Arabidopsis thaliana: one gene and its partners. The protein of the gene in region 2 interacts with the protein of the main gene of each other region in a pairwise test. Each region holds a gene or a part of one and is shown on either strand. Other genes may lie near its edges.

Region 1 (3,503 bases), on a different chromosome or scaffold from region 2:
GATTTGGAGTGACGGGTTTTTGAATCAACATTAATAAAAAAGTAAAATATAATTAATCCACCGTTTCAATACTGGTTAAATATTTAATTTATTATTTTTTAAGACCACTAATATTAAACATATCAAATCATCCTAATTTAGAAAAGATTATATAAAACCGAAAATATTATGTAGTATGTATAATGTTACTATATATAAAATTAAACTATAAAATATAAATGTATTAGAGAATGATATAATTTGCAAAACTTTTATATATAAAAATAATTCTTAAATTTTAAAAATTACTTTTTTAAAAAAAAATCACGGGACGGGTAAAGAAATTATACAACAGGTTTTATTTTGGAATTGGATTATATGGTGGATGTATTTGAATCAATATTTATAAAATTTTAAAATATTATTAATATGCTGTTTTAATAGGGGTTACAACTTCAGTTTTTTAAAAATTGTCTCATGGATTCGTGGTATAGCGTTACTTAATAATAATTATAAACTGTAAAATATAAATATTTTATAAAAATAAAATTTGCAAATTTTAATATATATTACTTTTAAAAAATAAATCGTCCCGCGGTATATCGCGGATTAAAATCTAGTTGTATTTATATTGTGGGAAGACCTCCTCATGTGATGTTGGATGGATTGGTCTAACGGACCACTAATAATATATATATATATATAATTGGACAAGAACAAAATAAAACGGGAGAGTGAAAGCAACTTGTGGCATCTTTCACCACATCCTCAATTACATTCCATTCCATTCCAAAGGGCTTGGAAGACAATAAGACAAATCATGCATATATATTTCATTTAGATGTTCCCTAATATCCTAACAATAGTAACTAAATTCAAACGATTCACCACAAAACCAAGTACATATATTTATGGCATCAACCTCGGTCGTCACCGGCTTTGAATAACTTCCTCGCCATCAGACTCGTCAGACTCGTGCTCATCCTCCACCATCTCTTCATCATTCTCTTCCTTCACTACGACTTTCACCGCCCTCCATTTTCCTACCTCACCCTTTAAAACCCAAAACATTGATATAGTTAGCTCTAAACTATTACTTACAACAAAAATATATGTTATAGAAAAAGATAAAAGTCCAATGAGTGACTCACCCGAGGTAGAGGGGACGATGACCACCTTGTAGCTCTAGAGGAAAGAAGTCGGAACTCGTACATGATCCATGGAGTTATTGTCCCTCGAGGTTTTTTTCCAATAAAGAAAGCAAATGTCTTTCTCCTTCCTTCTAAATGAATACAATCACGACCACCAGCCTCCATTACTTCCTCTTCTTCACACTCTTCCCAATAACCGGATAACGTCTCTCTTCCCTTCCTCTCTCGCTCTTCCTTCTTCACGAAGTAATACACTTCCTTGTTCTTCTCTCCTACAACAAAAGTGTACGTACAACATTCACTAAACCACATTTTTCAATACATTTGACGTGATATGGTATAGTAATTATTAGAGAGAAGAGTTTGTAGCAAACCTAGCAAGTCCCATGGATCAACATTGCAAGAACGGAGCTCAGGGAGATCGAAGTCCATTGGACGGTGGAGGACCTTCTTGGCGAGATACTCGAACACAAGATCTTCATCATCGGGATCGAACCGAAACCCGGGAGGGAGTCTCATGCTTCTTCCGTTCATGGCAAATCTCTGCGCAGAAATGTCCATTGCTTTCTTATGAGTATCCTTTGTGTTTGGTTTAGGTTGTTTATATATACTTATGAGTGTGTCACCTTTAGTTTGGCAAAAGCGGATTCTGCTTTTCCTTTAGATACTTTTTACGTACTACTATTAATTTCAAGAGATAAATAGATAAAAAAAAATTGATAACTGCAAATTCAGAGATCGTAGATTGGTTTCATTTTTGTTTATTTAAATGCGAGGATCATCATAACAAATTGTGGTGCATGTACCCATGCAGTCAACGTTGTTAAGGTTTTGAATATAGCGAGTATTCAAAAATATCTTTATTTTTTTGGTAAAGATAATCTAGTTCCTTTTTCGTTTTCCTGGGCAAAGGTAATTATTTATTTTTTCAACCAAAACGAAATAAACAAGATTTAAGTTCCAAAAGCCTAGATCCACGCTGATTCATTACCATATAAGTACATTCAACATCAATAACTAAAACGAGCACATTTCTAACAATTGGCCCAGAACTAATTTTAACATGCATTTGAAATTTTATTTTTCATAAGCCGATCGGTTAGCCCAGGTAAAAATACACGTAAGTGTTTAGAGTGGATTTAAACCCGAAAAATTACCACAGTGTTTATTCCAAATCTGAAATGTTTTCACACCGAAAAAGAAAACAAACCTTTATGTTAGGGACCTTACACATGTTTAGGGACTAGTGTATATATCATCCATGTAAAAATATCCATGCGACCCTTTTTTTTTCTTATAGTAATGTCGGAATGATATACGAATTATAGATATGAATGTACATAAATAAGCGAAAGTTTTGGACGTACGTTCAACCTATAATTTTGTAGTAAAATCATTTCTTGGTATAAATTTATACGTGGAAAAGGAAAACTTATATCATCGAGGAATCAAAATTTTCTTTGTCTTTATCATTTGGCAAGTGAAATAATAATGTCGGGATACAATACATTTTTAAAACAATAAATTTAAGTAAATATGCATAAGCAATGATTAAGAAATAAGAAAAATATAAGAAAGTATATTCAGAAAACAAAAGTGAATTTGAAAGAGAGTCCAAGTCGATCCCAACTTAAAGATTTGAGAAGCTGACTTAACGAGTAAGTTATTAGATGTTGGTCTGACTCAATTTTCTACTCTCATGCACTTCTTTAATTTCAATTATTTTAGATAAATTATTGTATATATGTGTGTCTTTGGACTGGTGACTTGCCTTTTATCCTTCCTTTTTTTCCTTGGATCAATAAAGCTCCCAAAGCCCCCACCAAACCAAAGTTGTTCCAATTTTTTGCTTCAACTTTCCAGCATCAGCCTTTGATTTTTACAAATAGCATTTTAGGTTTAGTCCTCTTTGTATAATGTTATGTTTTATACACTAGAAATAAAGGTTACATAATTTGTCTTTCGAAAGACTAAGAAAAGAAAATGAAATGGATTAAAGATGATTGTTTCATTGTTAAGGAATCGAGATTAGTTTAATTGGTTGGAACTTGGAAGAGAGTATTCATCAGCTTTCTTTTGCTGAATCTTAATTCGAATGCAACATGACTAGCTTATATTTGATAAATATTTTAAATTGTTAACATCTAGCTTTAATTCTAGTCCAAAATTTCTCTATATAATTTTCATGTGTTGAAAGTAGGCAAAGCTCTATTTGTTTTATATTCATAAAGGATATAGAAAAAGCTTTAAATTTGTCAATTTAGAATCATATGTCTTACTCCTCCCACGCAGCATTTTGGATTTGGTACTTTTCTTCACCTCGAAGATGTTGGCTTTCCATTTCCTTTATTTGTTTGTTTTCAATCTTCTTTT
Region 2 (3,761 bases):
ATTGAGTCTGTTGACTATAAACGATTGTAACAAACTCTTTGAATCATTAATGAGAAATTGAGCTTTTCACCATGTTTTCTCTCTCGATCATGGTTCCTAATATTTGGAGTAATATTTTTGTTTACCGAATACTTTAAATAAGATAAGAGTAGTTTTATCATGGTCAACTCATTTTTATCATCTCACCTACTTAATTTCAGCCAGCTTGAGATTGGAGACAAAAACAATCGTTTTCAAGTGTTTTTTTTCTTCTTGATTTATATCTCTTAATCAACGTTTTATATCTTTTCTTAAGGTCCTCATAAAAGTCTTTTTCTCATATCATCATATGTATTGGCTAACGGTTTACCCAATAAGACAAATACGCTGTTAAATATCTGGTTTTGTTTAACAAAAAAAAAATTGCTAATAAATAAACCATATGATTGAGAAAGATTGTCAGACTGACTATCAAAAACGCCTAATTGATTCGATCCCATTATCTTAAGTTCCAACTTGTCCTCAAACTCTTTTTTTTTTCTTTGACGTCTCAATATTTAAAATGATCTCTCAAAGTTCAATACAAGCCAAGAAACATATTTGCCAATATTCAAAACGACTTTAATTACTCTTTCTTGGTACGTATGTATAGATAAACTCGTTCACATTGCTTAAAGAAAAACTAATCCAACAAAATTGTGAAAAATTCATCCTTAACCTCCTTTCTCTTACAAATCTTCGGCTTCGAAGAGTGTATATACAGTGATCAGTTAGTGACCAAAAATAACAAATTTACAAGGAATTAAAAGAAGAATTAATAACGAGTTTAAGCCGGAGATTAGTCAAGATTTCGATTTCTTCGGTTATAAAATAAACAAATCACTAGGACATTCTTGTGGCGGCCACGGAGGAGGCTAAAGGGACAACCTCGGCGAGGGGAGTAGACAGAGGAGTTGGAAGCGGCGAAGTCCGACACACAGGACACGTAGGATTGAGTCTAAGCCACGTGTCGATACATTTAAGGTGGAAGAGATGGTTGCAATCTGGTAGCTGCCGCAGCAGATGTTTTCCCTTGTAGTCTCCTAAACAAATGGCACAACACGACGCCGTTGTTGGTCCCTTTGCTTCCGAGTAGAGAATCTTTGGATAGCTTTGAATGGTGTCCTCGTCAAGACCGGGGACAACGTCGATGATGACATGGTGGTGATGGTGATGGATACGTGTTGAATCTTGGTTGGTTTGTGAAGGTGAAGAAGAGAGCTGGTTACGTGTGCAATAGTATGAGGTGAGGGTGATGGTGGTGATGAGGAGGAGGACCCCGATGGAGACACCGATTCCGTATCGAAATCCTCCTATGTCGTCCGTGCCGAGGAGGCCGTTGTAGTCCGGCATCTCGGACGGTGGCGGTGGTTGGAAATTGTTCATGGCGGGTTTGGTTTGATGGTTTTGTTTAATGGGTTTGGGAGGAGGAAGAGGAGAAATAATGGAGAGGTTTTTGGTCAGCGATTTGATATAAGACAATGTAAATTGAAGCATCTTGGGGTTATCAAAAGTCAACGCTAAGAGAGAGAGAGAGACAAAGGGAGGAAATGCATGTGAATGAGGATAAGAAAGCTTGTCAAAGCAAAGCAAGAATTGTGTGACTTGTGGATGGTTAAAAAAATATTCAATGTATAAATTTTCTAATATTGTATTGGTAATACTGTAATAGTATAACGCATATATAAATATATTGACCCATTAATTCGTTGTTTATTTCAAACATAAAACACTTAGTTGCACAATTGAATTGGATACAGGGCTAATGAATTTAACGTGTGACATGTATTAAGATTTGATTTAGGAATGTAGGGAGGGGCCAGTGGCTAAGATTAGAGAAGGTTTACGCTGAATTAGTTTGAAGTCAACGTTGTACTTATATACTAATCTTGTTGTTTATGTACGTTTAGTTATCTCCTTTATTCAGGCTTATTTAAGTCCAATCATGTCACCTAAGCAACGTTTAGTTTCCTTCACTTGCTTTTAAAGTCGCAGTGTTATCTTATTTTAGTATTAGAATATTTAAAACTTTGAAATCTCTCCATATTAGAAGATTAATATAAAGTTTTGTTTTTCTCCTAAAAGTGGCAAGACAATAAAATAAAATATAATTGTAGGTAAATAATTTGTATATACTAGGAAATCCAAATTTAACCAATTGAGTCGTGGGCATTAACATTTGTATTACATAAAATTATATTTTGGCAAACTACCATAGGATAAAAATCATTCACTTAACGGCCAAGTTACTAACACAAGGCATCTTTGATAATGGAAAACAATCTGTTGGACAGTTGTTATTAATGAAGAAAATGCGTCATTGCATGCTCGCATGATGTATATTTTAATATACACTAGCTATGATAGTATATAAACAGATATACATGTAATTAAGAATGGAGATAAATGAACGTATATTATCCAGGGGCGGATTCATTTGGTGAAGAATGAATGTATTCAGTGAATTTTAATTGATATTCGAATACACCATTGTTATTGAACACTTAATTATTGCCGCCGCTCTTCCAATTTTTCAATTCTTTTTTTCCCCAATCAGTAGAGTAACTATGGGCTTTTAAAACCCATAGCTCCGGATTCCCAATCATATATTCTATAGTCTATGTCATCTAAAACAATATGAATTTAGATAAACAATTTATGACCTTCAAGCCATATATTTGGGCCGGATACTCAAAACATATGAAATTACACTCAAACACTAATTGAGCTACTTAGGCCAAATATATAAAGGAAACACTTACTACTAGGCATAAAAAGTTTGGAAGAAATAATAAGAGAGAAAAAAATGTTATAATCCTGACATTGTTTTTTTATTGTTAACTCACTCTTGGAATAAGTTGTCCAAGTCTCATAGTTGACTCAGTTTGGTGGTGTCACAAATTAGTTCCATCATTACTAATTTGCTATCAGTTTGGTGATGTATCAAATACTGTTGATCTAGTAATTTCACAAAAAGCGCATATCTTCCGGCTAATGATATTAGATTTACTCATATGTGTAATGTGTATGTATGGTTGAAAGTTGAAGCTAAATTAGGTTTAAGTCACTCATATCATATGTGTGTGTTATCTTGTATAGTGTAATACAAAATTCAATACAAAATTTTCCAATAAGCAAAAATAGTCGTCAGTGCGAGTTCAACTTTAAACTGTTTCAAACTTTATATTCATTACGAATGCAACAGTCCCTCTCTTGTTTCTCCACGCTTCGCTTTCTCCTTCCATTTTCTTCCAAACTCTCTCCGCTTCGTCCTCTCTTTCACACCGCCGCTATGCCTCCTCACGGTCCTAATTCTCAAGGTGGTCGTCGAGGCGGAGGTCATTCCTCCGGTCGTCGTGGTGGACGCGGCGGCGGCGGTCGTGGCGGTGGTGGTGGCGGCCGGGGGGAACAGCGATGGTGGGATCCTGTGTGGAGAGCTGAGCGTTTGCGCCAGCAACAAGCTGAGGTAATTGATACATTGTTCTTGTAGATTCTGAGTTCATTACTTCAATTTAACGATTAGACATTGATACATAATTTCGAATCAGATGATGAAGTAGTCATAATTTATCTCAGATGGAAGTACTTGATGAGAATGAATGGTGGAACAAGATTGAGCAATGGAAAACAGGAGGAGAACAAGAGATGCTAATTAAGCGTAATTTTAGCCGTGGAGATCAGCAAACACTTTCTGATATGGCTTTGCAGATGGGTCTTTACTTGTAAGTCTCTATATCTTCTTC
Region 3 (3,761 bases), on a different chromosome or scaffold from region 2:
ACTTCGTTTTCAAACTCTTTTTCACCTTGTCCTGATGTCTTCGATAGTCTCTTCACCGCAACTTGTAGTCCACTACTCAATGTACCCTACACGAGTAATTTATTTTAAGATAACCATAAGTATATAGGAATTGTCGGTAAGATTAATCATGAAAATGAAGTACTCAAAATGCAAGTATACAAGTAGAAGTTAGTATTTGTTACAAATATAGGATGATAATTAACGACTAGAGTTTCTTTGTTCCGCAACAACCTTTGCAAGTACAAGGTTGCTGCACTCATCCCATACATCTCAACTTTCGAAGTAATGTGTGTGAGATTTGATTTGGAAACAGGGGAAAAACAGAGTACATTGCTCTGTTCAATGGTAATAATACCTTGTAAACTTCGCCGAAACCACCTTGACCTAGCTTGTTAATTGGCAAAAAGCAATTCGTTGCTGCCTCAATTGCCTTAAAATCAAACTGAAGTGATCCTGCAGTCGTAATATCATTCCCATCTGGAAAAGAAAACTTCAACAGCTGAATTAAGTAAGAGCACAACAGACTATTCATTCTATGAGGAGATATGTTTATCACTGGTGTGCTTACCTTCAGCTACTGGTTCCTTCTCATTAAGCGTCCTCTTATTTTTAGCCCTGACACTAAAAACAGCTACTAATAGAAGAAAAAGTACAGTGATTGGAACAACAACTGCAATAATTATGACAGAGGAGTTTCCACCTTTTCCTGTATCAACAACAGCAAGAATTTTTTAAGCAAAATTCTTGTATGAAACTTGTGTTGAAATATGTAGTCAAAGGAAAGGGACTGTTCATACCAGGACGTGGTGATGAATCTTGAGGTGTTCCAACATTAGATTCGTTGTAAAACGCGTAATTATCGTATCTTGAAGCACAGCTCGGCAGAAGAATCCTTCCCCCAATTTTGTCATAGGTTACTTGATTGATGCCTATTTTCAGACAGTCTAAGCAGTCTTGTTCCCTAAGATCAGGAGTGCACCGAACCATTCCGTACAAACTCTGGGATGCATTTAAATCAATTTTTCTCACAGCCCATTTTTTGAAACTCCTGGCGGCTTCAACGGCGGCTAAGTTCATGGGGGTCAAGACCAAATCTCTGAACTGATCTTGTTTGACTGATAGAGGATTCCTAGCGCTCTGCATGAACATTCCTCCATCGGTGTTTAGAGTGGCTACTATATTCCTGTTAGAGTATCTGAGCAGACACTGCTCGTAATAGAACACGCCTTCTTTATCTTTTGGACACCGAGTCAACGTTTCGTTTACGGCAAAGGTGACGCAGCTACGGCAAACTTCCGACGAGACGTCGACGCGGCAGAGGAAAAGTCCGGTGACCCTGTCGGGGGCCTGTCCCGCCGTGGCGGTTTGGAATCCGGTGGAGTAAGAAGAAGCGTTAAGGGAAGAGAGAGAGGACAAAAGGGTTTTGAGATTGGTGGAGTAAGTGCTGTTACTTGAGAAAGTCGTCGTGACTGAACAATTATGATATAGGTAGAAAGTATTTTGAGCAGAAGCTGTGATGGATGAGAAAAGGAAAAGGAAGATGAAAGAGATCAGAGAAGACATGGTTCCTTTTCCTCGATCTGGGTTTCAGATCATGTAGCTCTCAATTTTTGAAACTAGAACTATATTTTTCCCTTTTTTCTATGAGACCAACAAGTCTTAGTAAACGCCGGTTTTATTTTATTTTATTTTGTAATGTCAAACTTGTATCGCGCAAAATAATAACTATTATTAAAAAAAGACAAAGAGAGAGTAGTTACGATTTCTAAATTACAATAAACTATTTGTCAGGAATTAAAGGAAAAAAAACAGCCTAACTTAGTTGGATATGATAAGATATTATTTGTCAGAAAAGAATCTTTTCTCTCTCTCTCTCAATTTTCTAATACAAGATATTATTTTTATATTTTTATTTTTTCGTGGACATCAGAAATTCAGAATTATGATAGCATGAAAAATCAGCGTGAGGAGAGTACCGCAAATATTGTCTTAAATTGTATTTACGCTGTAATTTAAGCTTCTTAAAAAAAAAAAAGTTTTAAACCATTTTCAACTCTATTTTAAAAGAATTGTATTCTAATGATCATCTCCAAAATAAAGTTTTTTCAAAAATAAAGGAAAATATAGAAGTAACCATCGAAGATGTCTTTACGTAACCGAAAAATAGCATTTTACACTTTACATCACAAAATTAAAGTCACTATGCTTCTTATTTGTGGAGAAAACAAATCGAATCTAGCTTGATCATTTTTGCGTGTTTTGAGATGACAATTTTTTCTTTCTGCGTGTTTTGACTTTTTAGATATGAGTCATTAAATGCATTCACATCCTCCAAGCATGTCTACTAGCAGGTCTTTTCCTTGTTCTGTACGTAGATGATGCATCGATCACGGTTTTTAGCTCTCGTTGAAATTGAGGCTAATGATTAACATGTATATTCTTTCATAAGCCCCAAAACCTAATATCAAAGATTGACTCACATAGTCCAAGTCTAGCACAAAAATTTCAAAGTTGTCAATTTCTTATTAATGTGCATGGTTATTCAAATGGAAATTTTAAACTGATGATTAAATTTCTAAGAACCACAAATAGTCAAATACTAACTACACCACCCACACATTATCTCAAGAAAAAAGAAAAATGGCAACGAAGAGTTGTGAATTAGTCCTCTGTTTCTTCGTCTTTTTCGTCATAAGCTTCAGTGCAATTTCTGTTTCTGCACAAACTTGTGACAATACTACTGGGACTTTCATACCCAATAGTCCTTATGATAAGAACCGCCGACTCATCCTCTCTACTCTAGCTTCTAACGTCACGGCTCAGGAGGGCTACTTCATCGGTTCGATTGGGATTGCTCCTGACCAAGTCTTTGCCACCGGGATGTGCGCTCCAGGTTCTGAGCGTGATGTTTGCTCTCTCTGTATCAGGTCCACATCAGAGAGTTTACTACAAAGCTGTCTGGACCAGGCAGATGCTTTCTTCTGGTCAGGTGAAGAAACCCTTTGCCTTGTTCGCTACGCTAACCGCCCCTTCTCTGGATTGCTCGTCATGGATCCACTAGGAGCGATATTCAACACAGGAGAACTCAATACGAATCAGACTGTGTTTGATATCGAGTGGAATAATTTAACTTCTAGTATGATCGCCGGAATAACTTCTTCTTCATCAGGGGGGAACAATTCGTCTAAGTACTACTCAGACGATATAGCTCTTGTGCCGGATTTTAAGAACATATCAGCGTTGATGCAATGCACACCAGACGTTTCGTCAGAGGATTGTAACACTTGCTTACGGCAAAACGTTGTCGACTATGATAATTGTTGCCGTGGGCACCAAGGCGGCGTTATGTCAAGGCCAAACTGCTTTTTCCGATGGGAAGTGTATCCCTTCTCTGGTGCTATTGATCAGATTAATTTACCAAAGTCACCGCCGCCTTCAGTTACATCCCCGTCTCCTATAGCCAACATAACCAAGAATGGAAAGTCCTTGTTGGAACATTTTCAGAAAATTGTCTTGTTTTGTTTCTGTTTGTTTTTTTTTCTTTTTTTGGTTTTTGTGTATTTATGCTTTTGATGAGTTGTGTTTTGTGCAGATAGTAGAATATCAGGAGGAAAAATCGCAGCAATAGTTGTTGTTACTGTTGTTACAATAATATTGGTTGTTTTAGGCTTTGTTATTTCCAATAGAAGAAAGCAAAAGCAAGAAATGGATCTTCCAAGTGAGTTTTCTTTGTTTGTTTG

The links.
Region 1: the proteins of AT2G35910 (region 2) and NAC097 interact in a two-hybrid assay, tested with the Arabidopsis thaliana proteins (one large-scale study listed by BioGRID).
Region 3: the proteins of AT2G35910 (region 2) and CRK19 interact in a protein complementation assay, tested with the Arabidopsis thaliana proteins (one large-scale study listed by BioGRID).

What each region holds. Positions count from the first base shown.
Region 1 is NC_003076.8:20,677,413-20,680,915, reverse strand, and holds NAC097 (NAC domain containing protein 97), read right to left. Parts: upstream 1,695-3,503; 5' UTR 1,692-1,694; coding exon 1,505-1,691; intron 1,479-1,504; exon of another isoform or gene 1,443-1,478; coding exon of another isoform or gene 1,403-1,442; coding exon 1,131-1,402; intron 1,033-1,130; coding exon 910-1,032; 3' UTR 642-909; downstream 1-641.
Region 2 is NC_003071.7:15,072,364-15,076,124, forward strand, and holds AT2G35910 (RING/U-box superfamily protein), read right to left. Parts: upstream 1,778-3,761; 5' UTR 1,516-1,777; coding exon 862-1,515; 3' UTR 524-861; downstream 1-523. Other genes in the region: AT2G35920 (RNA helicase family protein), read left to right, coding at 3,215-3,484, 3,595-3,740.
Region 3 is NC_003075.7:12,168,956-12,172,716, reverse strand, and holds the start of CRK19 (cysteine-rich RLK (RECEPTOR-like protein kinase) 19), read right to left. Parts: upstream 1,701-3,761; 5' UTR 1,585-1,700; coding exon 819-1,584; intron 728-818; coding exon 590-727; intron 499-589; coding exon 377-498; intron 87-376; coding exon 1-86. Other genes in the region: CRK18 (cysteine-rich RLK (RECEPTOR-like protein kinase) 18), read left to right, coding at 2,662-3,499, 3,614-3,739.